Linked DNA regions of Macaca fascicularis. The protein of the gene in region 3 binds, or shares a complex with, the protein of the main gene of each other region. Links are inferred from orthologs where the notes say so. Each region holds a gene or a part of one and is shown on either strand. Other genes may lie near its edges. The genes, in order: YEATS2, MBIP and DR1.

Region 1 (3,647 bases), on a different chromosome or scaffold from region 3:
TGGCCCCTCAGCAAGGGTTATTGATTCTATCAAAACAACTGGGGCTAAGCAGCAATTTACTCAATCTAGCTAACGATGGGAGTGACACAGCACACCACTTTGGGAGGTCTTAAAAACTGTGCATTTCTACAGTGTGCAATACTGAGTTTCAGAGGAAAGATGAACGGTCTTAGAGTCAAACAGAACCAGGTTTGTATCCTGTTTCACCACCCATGGCTCTGTGATCTCAAGCAAGTTATTCAACCCTGTTTATCCTCAGTTTCCTCATCTGTAAATGCAGATGACACCAGCTACCACACAGGAGGCTGGGATTATATGAGACAGTGAACGTACCCAGCCTGCACAGGACCTGGTACACTGCAGGCAAACACTAAATGCTTTCCTCACTCATAAACGCCAAATGCTAATACAGAGTTTTAACTGCATACAAAACAATTTATGATTTACATATGAAAAATGTAAAACATTCCTTCTAAAGAACAACACAGTAAAAAGAATAAAAAACTAACTGCATATGAATTCTAAAACCCTTGCAAATGAGCTGTATCTCTAGCTGAAACCTTATAAGGTAACTGCCATTATCAATATTAATTTACAAACCCAAGTGATTTCAGTTGACTCAATACCTTAAATTCACGGCTTTAAAAAATGCACCCCTATATTCAGTGTAATTGTCTTACTTTTTGCAGTGATTAATGGAATCTTCTTTACTACTGCTGTTAAGAGTTGCTGGATAGTCTCTAAATGGTCTATCCTGAGAAGGATAAAAAAAAAATAAGGCAATAAATTAAATACATGTAGCAGTTTCTATAGCCATATGTATGCCATATACTTAATGGATATATTCCATTCTGAGGGAATTATAATGTAAAAACATCATATTAACATGTCTTTCCTTCCATAGATTACCTTCTTTGTAAAGGAAAGGTGTTCTATGCTTAAAAAGAAAATGTCAAGACTAAATAAGATCCCAGGAATGGAAGATTATGCGCGTATTACAGACAGTTAATCTACACCTTAAAATTAAATAGCAATATAATCTTTTTGCAATGTGACTGCTACTAGGGGAGAAAAATTCTGTATGCCCATCTTAGGGTTATTACAGTTCACGCCTCCATCTACCATATTAAAGGGCTAAGTTTCTATTGTCCCCAGCGGTTTGAGATACTTAAAAGTAGCTGGTCAGAAGTGGCTTCCTGATTTAGAAATTACGAAACCTCAGAAAGCATTTTAGAAGAAGCAAAGAGTGTGTATAGCCCATGAAGAGGCAGCTAAGATTAGGCAGGCGTGTGGACACCCAGTCACAAAGCACGTATACACCTGAGTGATGGCTACAGGAGAAATTTTGCGCCCAGGGGCTCAGCAGAGAAAGCCCACGCTGGCAACCTCAACTGAAGGGAGGTCTAATCCCATCTGAGGCTTCTAAGGCTACAAATCAAGTGCCACCTCCAGTCACACCACTGTATAAAATGATGACCCTCAGCTGTGCATCACTTGTCCACTACACAGGCACAGACAGTTCCTCCCATCAAGGGCTTAGAGCTACACACACAACTCTGCACATACTCAGCTGTCACAGGTGTGACAAACACCCAAAGCGGAATTCCTTTAGGAAAGACTGGAAGAATTACTTAATGACATAGTTTCCCAGCTCAGAACTTTCTTCTGTTTTCACTGCTGTCTGACCCTCCTGAGAGAGGCAGCTCGGCCCAGGTGTTTCTGGTTCAGTCTTCACTACAAGGCAAGAGCAACAAAGAGGCAGCTGTTAGGGGTTAGCAGTGGAAGGACATGTGCAGGCACAAACAAAGCTCCTGCAGTGAAGCTCAGCAAGGAAACTGCCACTCCAGCTGTTGCGGGGACACAGCCAGGGGACTGAGATGGCTCCTATCATCCCAGGGTCATCAGACAAGGGAAGAACTGTTAGCCTGGGTCTCAGGGGGGACAACTCCAGCCTCATGACAGGGCGGGGGCAATAAAATGGCTCCTCAGATATTTCTTAAAGGGCCACCCATACTGCTGTGTAAGATCCCTCACCCCCTCCCCACACATGTGATTTAACAATGCTACATTGAAGTACAATGCTGGTTTGTTCTAAGTTCTAATATTGTGACCTTTCCAATATCATCTCTCCAGCTAGTTTATCAACTTGCAGCATTATCTTAGCGTTCTGAGACACAAGGCAGAAAGCAAAAATCAGATCGCCTGTGCTTGGACACTGATGTTATCAATGTCAGCGTGTTGCTCTAATCCACCGTGCTATCCTGATCTACTCTTGTGGGCGGAAATGTCTCCCACTGCCAGCTCGCCAAAGTCTGGCCCCTACCTAAACCTCCTTTACCACAACTATACTCCCCAAATGAGTCCCTCTAACTTGCCACTTCTCCAAAGGGGAAGCTGAGTCTTTGTCTCTCTTGTGCCCTTAATCTGGCATACCCCTTGACTCCCCACAGCTAAAAAACCTCTACTCTTTTAAAGTCCAGGTTATAATCCATGGTCAATACAAAGTCTTGCCCTTCTCCACACCCCCTGCCAACCCTGATCAGACATCCCAAACTGCAATATTTCAGCAATCATTTCCCTGGCCACATGTCTTGTGTTTATCAATGATTGCTTGCTGTCTACAGCAATTCTTTTCAACCTTATTATAAATTTATTAAAGGGTAGAAATGATCCTTTATACATCTCTGTGTTTCCCTCAATGTTAAGTCTACCATATGAGTATTTAGGACACATTTGCCAAGTGGTTGATTTGCAAATGCTGAAAATTCAAAAGATTCAGATTATGGTAATGTCCTGCATAAAACTTCTGGACATCAGAAGAGAACGTGAACGACAACAAAAAAGATAAACAACAAAACTTCTGGACAAGAACTCTGTGAGATCCTATGTACCTTTTGCAACAGCTGCTGGAGCAGAGCTGGGGACAAGTGGAGTTGGGGCAGCTACAGGCAGAATGGCAGGTGGCTTGCTGGTAGAAAATGACTGAACCACTAAAGGGAGAAAAGGAGGGAGGGATATAACAAATACAGAGATTATTTTTAATGAAGGTGATCTAACTCCCAGGTGATAACCCCACATGAGACGAACAGCACACAGACAACTTGAGGACAACAGGAATTGCAAAGTCCCTTTTTACTAGTGGGTGATTATTAGGTATGAGGGTAACTGAGGTATATCTTCAACTGTAGAAACAGGAGCCTGTCACTAAACTAAGAAAGTAACAAGCCAGGCCAGGCACAGTGGCTCACGCCTGTAATCCCAGTACTTTGGGGGGCCAAGGCAGGTGGATCTTCTGAGGTCAGGAGTTCAAGACCAGACTGGGCAACATGGTGAAACCCCGTCTTTACTAAAAAAATACAAAAATTAGCCAGCTACTCAGGAGACTGAGGCATGAGAACTGCTTGAACCCAGGAGGCGGAGGTTGCAGTGAGCCGAGATCTTGCCACTGCACTCCACCCTTGGCGACAGAGCAAAACTCTGTTTCAAAAAAAAAAAGGAAAGGAAAACAACAATCCAATTAATGTAAATTCTTATAAACACTTAAAATATTCCCCCTTCAACTCAACTTTAGATAAGGGCAGCTATTTAGAAGCCAACGAACATTTGGGTTTTGAGTCCTGGCGTTGGAGCCCTAGCATTCAAGGTGC
Region 2 (4,387 bases), on a different chromosome or scaffold from region 3:
AAACAAGTGATCTGAAACTGATTGCTAATTTGGTACAGAACAAAAACCTACAGTTACCCCATTACAATTATTCTCTATTAACAAGAGAACCAGAAGCAAACAAAACATGCTAACATGGCAAAGAATCATGAATTTAGGCTAGATATGGGGATGAGTGGCTTGAATAAGAAGGTTGCTCAATTTGAGATTGGACATTGCGAAGTATCTTTCTGGCTGTAGACATAGGCTGGAATATCAGTTGTATATCTTGCTGCCAACAAGGGAACAGAAAAGATTTTCCAAGATTCTGTCAAGCCTGGTGATCCCATTTGTCTTTGGAAATGAAAGCCTAATTAAGAGACTCCCTAGGGACAGGTCAAAGGAGTTCTTTTATCTCCATCGTCCTTATCCTAGTTCCTCGATGCGTTAGTCCTTCCCTTTAATGTAGTCTACCCTAAAACTAAAGAATACACATTGTGCAAGTTTCCACCTTTGCTTTCTCTACTGTAAATGCATTAGACTATTAACAGAATGAAGAGTTTTAAATCCCACCTTCCTTATCTCTAAGCTGATGTTTATTTCTTAAAGTGTTTTTGAATAAAATTTGACACTAAAAATTCTTGTAATACTTTTTAAAATTGGATAACACTTTTTAAAAATATTGGAGTCTGACTAAAAGATTACAAAACCCCACGAACATCTTTATAATAAAGCTATTATGATAAATAATACTTTGTAAAATTTCAATTCGGTTTTATGTCCTAATTTCAAAGATTGTGGTTGCATATTATTTATCCAGGTTAAATTCCTGTTGGATTATATTGACAGTGTTTCATTTCTTTGAAACAATTTTAGGGTTAAGAGTCTCTACAGTTATAATGGAGAATATCAACTGTAGTTTCAGTTACTCAGGAGGTTGAGGCAGGTTGAAACTGGGAGGCGGAGGTTGCAGTGAGCTGAGATGGCGCAACTGCACTCCAGTCTGGGCGACAGAGTGAGACTCTGCCTCCAAAACAACAACTTAAAACTTGAAGAGATGAAAATGTTCTATCCAACCATGACAATTCCGTGTGAGTTTTCCAGTGTTTAGAAACACTTGCGGGCACCACTCCATCCCTGACCAGCAAGCTTCCTCCAGAACCACTCCACACCGCCATGTTAAAATGTCAACTTTTAATTTGGGGACTCAAACTACAAAATTTAACTATGTCTCCTCTTACCAAGATTCACAGTGAACATCTGGGAGTCAAGGTAGGCTTCATAACGCTAAACAGACCACAACGCTAATAACCACCTCAAATATAGCCTTCCAGCCTAGCTTTGGTCTGCAATTTCCCACTTCAGAGCCTCGGCGTAATGTCGCAGTTGCAACTGATTGGTGTAACGTGCTTGTCAGTCACATAGAGAGGGTGGGGCCTCAAAGCCTGATCTAAACGAGACGCCGTGTCGTACGTCATCGCCAAGCGACTAAAGCTGGAAGGGAGGGAGCGGGGTTGTGAGCAAACGTTGGTGGTGGTGTTGGTGGTGGTGTTGGTGGTGGTGTTGGTGGTGGTGGTGGTGGGGCGGCCTGAAAAGGCATCATGGCTGCTGCCACGGAGCTTAGTCGCCCGAACAGCGGTGACAGGAGCCTGGAGCGAAGATGCAGCCCTAGCCTCTCCCGAGAGGTGCTCTACGAAATCTTTCGCTCCCTACAAACCCTGGTTGGACAGGTGAGAGGTGGCCGGAGGGACTGGGAATATGGAAGCCATCCGGCCCATCCCTCCATTCTTTTCTTCTAGCAGGGGCCGGGGGCAGCTAGGCCTGCTGAAGTGTGGGATGCCGTCCCTGAAGCCGAGGTCGGGGAGGAGCGCGGGCCCAGCCGCCTCGCTCGGAGTGAGGAGGACGGCGGTACCCGTAGCCGAGTAGTTTACCTTGCAGCTGTCCTCTCCAAGAGTGGGTGAGGTTGGTCTAAGTGAAAACCCGGCTCCGAAAGAGGCAGGCTTGGGGAGAATGAATGTGGAAAAGCTTCACTGCGAATTTAGGAGGCGCCTAGCGCTCAGGGTCCTTTTTCCTCCAACTTACTCTTTATGGGAATTGGTTGGTCAGTAGGCCTGAGATTTATAGAAAAGCGCGCGCTTATTAGCTTTTTCTTGGCCGGGGGGAAGGAGTAATTTGTTCTTATGAGTTACTTGGTTTTGTTTATTTCTTTTTTCCTTGGGGCTGTTTTGGGCATCTATAACCCTTTCAAATGGGGAGGAAAGTAAAAGGAATTCGTTTAAAATACTTCTAGCGTAAAGTTGGATGAGTTATCCATCGTTGATGCTGTTTGCGTTTAGAACTGTCGTTATTTAACTATTAACTAGTTTAACTGACTGATAAATCGCTTTTGCAGAAATGCCATAGTAAAATTGGTTTTGAATTTAGTGGGCTTCTTCGATCAAGTCACTGTTTCGTTTCACGGTGTAAAATTAAAAGCAAGTTTTAAATGAGAAACAATTTAAAAGTACGCTTGTTTACCTGCCTTTTAAAAGGAAATGTTTTCTATCTTACATAGACCATTTTCTAGCCGTAAAAGTTTGTTTTGAGGCTGGCACTAGCGCATGTGGACACGGCAGGCATTTGTGTCAAAGATAATGGTAAATTCTTATGAAAATAGAACATTTGTCTGATTTGTGAAAATTATTTTTAAAGCCTTGAGTAGATGGAGAATCAGCTTTTTAAAAAGTTACTATTTTAAAAAATCATAGTGTGTTGTGTCTTACAAAGAACATTACTGTAAGTTAAACGGTTTTATGTAATGACGCAATTATTAATGGAGTCTGCTTAAAGATACAACTTTTAAATTCAGTTGTTTGCCAAGTGCTTACCGAAATCGTTTTTTAAAGGCTTGGGGTGTTTTGTTATATATTCCAGTCTTAAGACCCAAGACCTTTTAAATGGTTTAAAAGTTAGAGAACTTTTTATGGCGACGTTGGAACTTAAGTTTGTTTATTTTCTAATGTCAAGATGAAAAAAGTTTATGCTCACCTATTAACAGAAGATGGAATATTTTTAAAAAATACTGAGCAATGATTTAAACGTTTCTTTTGAAACATTTAGCATACTGAATTTTTCAAACTCATTAGAAAATTTTAAACATTCAAGTACTCTACAAGTAAAGAAGCGATTACAATTTATTTGTGTCACCTGTCAAAAATGTTGACAGTAAATATTTGGTTACTTTACCATGACACAGTGAAGGGACCTCCTATACAGGTGTCAAAAATATGATTGTTTCATCAGTTAAATGCAAACTGTTTTCATAATACTCTATATTTTGAGAAGTATTAAGAGTGAAAGCCAGAGTTCCACACTTGCAAAATTGCCCCCAGAGAAATCAGTATTTTCTTTTGCAACCACTTTAAAAGATTTCTAGAAGGTATGTTGTAACATGCCTAACTTCATCCTGTGTCATCCCTAAGTATCATTGTATTATTAGATCTCAGTAGGAAACATAAAACTGAATGTTAAAAAGAATTTTTTACTTAAGATCACAAAATTTACTAATTTTAACCTTTTTGCTTGCCTCTGGATGGTCCATCTTACCAAGCTAAACACTTACTTATTTTTAGCTTGGATTTTTGTATTAATTTAGTAAAGTGTTTACTGAAAATATTTATTTAAATAGTCTATATTAATAGCAGACTAATAGAGATTTTCGAGTGAATGGTTTACTCTTCCAAGTTCTGTAGGGCAAAATGCATAGAATTCATATTACTAATAATGAATTTGTTGAATGAATAGTTAGGTGTATTAGAATAGTTTTAAATTAATTTGTGACATTATTATGTGAGTTTCTTAAAAGACCAGTTATTCTTAATTGCACTTGAAGCTTATGTAATTCTGCTGAATTGAAATGACACTATGAACGAAACATTAAGACTTATTTTTCTATAAGTTATTTTCTCTAGAAAATGTGATACTTTGCTTTGGTTGAGGATTTGCCTGCTTTATCCCCAAGCTGTATTCTTAAGTTTTCTGTGATCAACTGTAGATCTCTTTGAAGACTATGAAAGTACAATAATAGGTTACTTCCATACATAATACAGGTTGTTGTCTAACAAAATCTTTATAGGAATTAAAATAATGTAAATGAATGCATTCACTTTAACGTAAAATCTTAACATATTATAATCTTTGCCAGTGCAGCCTACATGAAATTTCATGTATCTTTACGCTTGTCTAATATGGACTTCTAAATGCTTCTGTTCTCATCTTCATTTCTGTCACAAAGTATTCAATATATTATCTTTTTATTGGTAACCTTACATCTTTTTGATCTTTGTACAGTGATTCATCTTTTTTATTATAATTATGACTAATAAAATCTGTATTTGAACTCATGTAACACCTTTATTTTGTAGAAAAGATGACTCATTTTGAATAAATT
Region 3 (4,222 bases):
AAGAGTAATGAATCTGATGAACCAAAGTGACAAAATGGATTTAAACGGTGTCTTGTTTTTAGAAATTCCAACATCCCACTATTTATATAGCCTCTTATTCCACACGACAGTATGACAAACCTAGTTTGTCTTTTTTTTTTTTTTTTAACGTTTTTTGAGACAAAGACTCTTTCTCTGTCACCCAGGCTGGAAATGCAATGGCACAATCGCAGCTCACTGCAGCCTTGACCCCCTGGGCTCAATCAATCCTCCCACCTTACCCTCCAGAGTAGCCAGAACTACTGTGCCTGCCACCAAGCCCGGTGGAAAAAAAAAAACCCGTAAGAGTGTCATACTGTCATATGGGAGAAGAGGCTATACTATAAACAGTGGGATATTGGAATGAATACACACACACACACACACACACACAGATATTTGTAGGGACGGGTCTCACATGTTGCCCAGGGGGGTCCTGAACTCCTGGGCTCATGTGATCTCCCTGCCTCAGCCTCCCAAAGTGTTGGGTTTACAGGTATGATGAACCACAGCGCCCGGCTGACACACTTTTTAAAATGCAATTTCTGTTTAGATCTTGACACCTGTTGATATTACTAGTCACTATGGAAAGAAGCAAAAACAGTTAAGATGCTCTAACATTTTTTTTTCCCCTGTAGAAGCCAACATGGAATACACCATGAAAACTGTCTAAATGGGAACCTTCTAATACGGCTCATTGTACGCCATGCATTTCCACTACGTTGGAACTGACTTCTACTCTCCTACTTATCTATTAGGCGACTTAGTCGCCTAGTCGCCTCTAGGCAAGTAACTTCTCTGTTTCATTTTCCACGCAGTAAAAAAAAAAAAAAAAGGTGGAGGACTTTAGAGAGCTTTTACCCGAATAAGGTCTATTAGACATCTTCAAAAGCTTTCTCTCCAGACGACGCAGAAACAGGCACACGGGATTCTGTGCTTTCCCCACCTCCCACTCCCAAGCCCAGGCCCCATTCTTCTCACTTTCAATCCTCATTTGGGCTCCTAAAAGAATAGCAAAGAGAGTTCTTTTATCAATACCAGCGCTCCTCTGTCCCCAAATCCGGCTAGGGATGGGTTCGGAGGCCTCAGCTGCTGGAGAGAGGGTAGAGACGATCCTTCCTCGCCCATCTAGCCAGCCACCACCCCTTCCCAGATCTAGCGTCCGGGCCCCTGACCAAGCGCGTGCTTGGAGCTCTCCGGTACAGTGACGCGCGCGCTTGCCCGGCTAGGGCCCCTGTGAAGGAATGGGATCCCGAGGTGCTTGCCAGGACCGCAGCAGGCGGAAGCTGCTGGCAGCGGGAACGGGCGGCTCCCGTCGGCGTGGGTGGGGGAAGGGCGGCAGCCACATCCGGAAGTCGGTCCGGGAGGGAGGGGGAAATCTGAGGAACGAAGCTTCCGGCGGCGCAAAGGGTGTCGGGAGCGGCTTCCTGCAAATCTTCCCTGGCCTCTGGAGGGACCACCGTTGCCGCCGCTTCGGCTTCCAGGATCTGCGTTCGGGTTACGCGGCCACGGTGGCAGCCACTGCGACTCCCACTGTGCCTGGCTCTGTCCATATTAGTTCCCAGGCGGCCGTCGCCGTTCCAGCAGCGGCAGCGGCGGACATGTTGTGAGGCGGCGGCGCGGGTGTCTGAAGGATGGTTTGGCCGAGGCGGCGGCAACGGCTGCTGGCGGCGGCGGCAGCGGCAGCGGGGCCTCGGGCTCTATAGAGCCGAGCCCGCTGGGTACCCGCCCGGTACCGCGGCGAGGCCAGTGCCCCTGGATCTTGCCTCTGCTTCGACGCCGTTGGGGACCAGTTAGGCGACAGTGCCCGCCCCTCTGAGGAGACCCGAAGGTGGTTCCCCAGCCGCTCAAATTTCCGGACCACCGCGCTTTCCCCTCAGCCTGGGCTGTGCTCTCTCTAGAATCCTCAGGCCCCCACTTTCTTCCCAAACTCATCCTAAATCTCTCACACACGCGAGCGTTCCCAGCCCTCAAGCCAGCTCCTCCTCCGTTCATTTTCTGCACCCTCTTCGCGAAGCACCCCCCGGGATCACTCTCCGAGGGCGGCTTTTTGAGAGATCTCCGTGGAGTAGTGGACCAGAGCCGGGGAGTTTTTAAAAGCCGGGGCGCGAGAAACAGGAAGGTACTATGGCTTCCTCGTCTGGCAACGATGATGATCTCACTATCCCCAGAGCTGCTATCAATAAAATGATCAAAGAGACTCTTCCTAATGTCCGGGTGGCCAACGATGCTCGAGAGCTGGTGGTGAACTGCTGCACTGAATTCATTCACCTTATATCTTCTGAAGCCAATGAGATTTGTAACAAATCGGAAAAGAAGACCATCTCACCAGAACATGTCATACAAGGTAAGTCATGTGTGGAAATTGGTTTGAATGAGGGTCTAGGGGAGCAGTCTGCTAATCGCGTGACGCTTTCATGTCAAAGCCTTCATTCCTCTTCACTGGTAAGTAACTTAATGAAAAAGCCAGACTGGCATGTAGGTAGCCCGTGCTTTAAAAACAATCCCTTTGTAGCATTCTTGCAGTACTTTTCATCTAGCGAATACACGTTAAGGAGTGCAAACATTTAGGTCAACGTCCCCAAAACATAAAGAGTGATCTCACTTTACAGCCAGGTAAGCCGAAGCAACAGGAATTGCTTGCCTGAAGTTGAACTTAGATAATAATTAAGGAACGCAGAAGTTCTCCCTTGGAAAATTAAAAATTCAGACAGAGGAACTTCAAGCATGGATGGAGACAGAGCGCCCCTTCCCCACCTGACCTTTCACCAATGTAGAGGAAAAGATTTATTTTCTGAACACATGAGTTAAAAAATTCTTAATATACAATGTGTTCAACGTTGTCAAGTTTATCGTTGTTGAATAAAAGGAGGTATGTTTTCTGCTCTAAAAATGGTTTGATGGTACGTTCATGAATGAGTTACGAAAGCACTCCTGGTCCATTCTGTAAGAAAAGGGTGAACTTTAAATTTTTGTTTTTTTCTTTTTGTTTGCCTTTATGTCGTTTGCTTTGTTCTATTCTGTGGAGATAAGTTTTAAAATCTTTGATTGAAAGTTTATGCAAGTTTTTTTTTTTTAACGGAAAATTTCCCCGTCCTTTCCTGCTGTCATTCTTATTTGGATGCATACACTTAGGCTTTTATTGAACAGCACTTCTGAAAGCTTCAACAGTTTCTTTTATCCTGAAAAGGTTGTGGTCCCGTAATAGGGATTTGGGGGACTGTATTCTAATGGTTTCAGAGAGGAGAAACATATTTACTAGTCATAATGTTTCGGGAATGTACCTTTTGCGATATTTTTACATGTACTCTTGTGAAAGAGTTGTTCTCAATTTGAAGTGAGAACTTGCCTTTCGTAATAATCTAATTAAAAGTATTGATTGCTTGTGAAACCAGGGAAAAAATGGTTAATTTTAATCATTTTGGTAGGCAGGTGGTTGTCTGTCACTTAATTTTTATACTTTAACTTTTTAAAATGTGACTTGCCTGTTGTACTGAAGTAGAGAACACATCTGCTTCTGTTGACCATATCCAATATTTTACTGTCAGTATTGACAAAAGGATTAAATGATTGATTTTTAATCCTTTATGACGTCTTGAAAGTAGTTTTAAAATATATCCTGCCATTTCAGTACATAAGGAGAAAAATCCCTAGGAAAAAGCATATTTGATTCTTAAAACTAGTACTAGTTGTTTTTTTTTTTTTTTCTACTTGATGTGCTGAATACTCTAGCAAGTAAAATGAAAGCCAAGTTGTCTGTTTTTTCTCTTGTGTATTTATTTTTACATTGTATGTGTGATTGCTGTCATAAGTCTTTCACAAGATTATCCAGCACAGATAGCTGTAATTTCTTTTTACAACTCATAAAAAGGAAAAAGAACTTTTTATCAACATTGCCTTTCTAATGAAAATTGCAAAAGATTTCAACAGGGTCTGCCTAAATATTTGTTTACACTACAGAAGTGGGGATCGTTCCAAAAACCTAATAACACATTACAGTCTGTCTTCTTGGGGAGAGTTAATTCTTTTCTAGGATATATTTAGATTTCTGATTGACATGATGGAATAGAAGTGCAGCTGTAGCAAGCAGTATGCTAAATAATTCAACTTTGGAATATGCTAAATTCAGTTTAATGTGTGAGTCAGAAAGCTATAGTGAAAAAGCATTTCCATTGTGTAATGAAGATGATTTGTTTTTGAAAAT

Evidence for each region.
Region 1: DR1 (region 3) and YEATS2 share a complex: the UniProt entries of both Homo sapiens proteins name them as parts of the ADA2A-containing complex. The link is inferred for Macaca fascicularis from reciprocal best matches to the Homo sapiens genes DR1 and YEATS2.
Region 2: DR1 (region 3) and MBIP share a complex: the UniProt entries of both Homo sapiens proteins name them as parts of the ADA2A-containing complex. The link is inferred for Macaca fascicularis from reciprocal best matches to the Homo sapiens genes DR1 and MBIP.

Annotation. Positions count from the first base shown.
Region 1 is NC_088376.1:95,715,984-95,719,630, reverse strand, and holds part of YEATS2 (YEATS domain-containing protein 2), read right to left. Parts: intron 2,991-3,647; coding exon 2,892-2,990; intron 1,735-2,891; coding exon 1,632-1,734; intron 755-1,631; coding exon 681-754; intron 1-680. UniProt on the Homo sapiens protein: Chromatin reader component of the ATAC complex, a complex with histone acetyltransferase activity on histones H3 and H4. YEATS2 specifically recognizes and binds histone H3 crotonylated at 'Lys-27' (H3K27cr).
Region 2 is NC_088381.1:104,153,839-104,158,225, reverse strand, and holds the start of MBIP (MAP3K12-binding inhibitory protein 1), read left to right. Parts: upstream 1-1,440; 5' UTR 1,441-1,559; coding exon 1,560-1,688; exon of another isoform or gene 1,689-1,920; intron 1,921-4,387. UniProt on the Homo sapiens protein: Inhibits the MAP3K12 activity to induce the activation of the JNK/SAPK pathway. Component of the ATAC complex, a complex with histone acetyltransferase activity on histones H3 and H4.
Region 3 is NC_088375.1:141,054,534-141,058,755, reverse strand, and holds the start of DR1 (protein Dr1), read left to right. Parts: upstream 1-1,421; 5' UTR 1,422-2,145; coding exon 2,146-2,365; intron 2,366-4,222. UniProt on the Homo sapiens protein: The association of the DR1/DRAP1 heterodimer with TBP results in a functional repression of both activated and basal transcription of class II genes.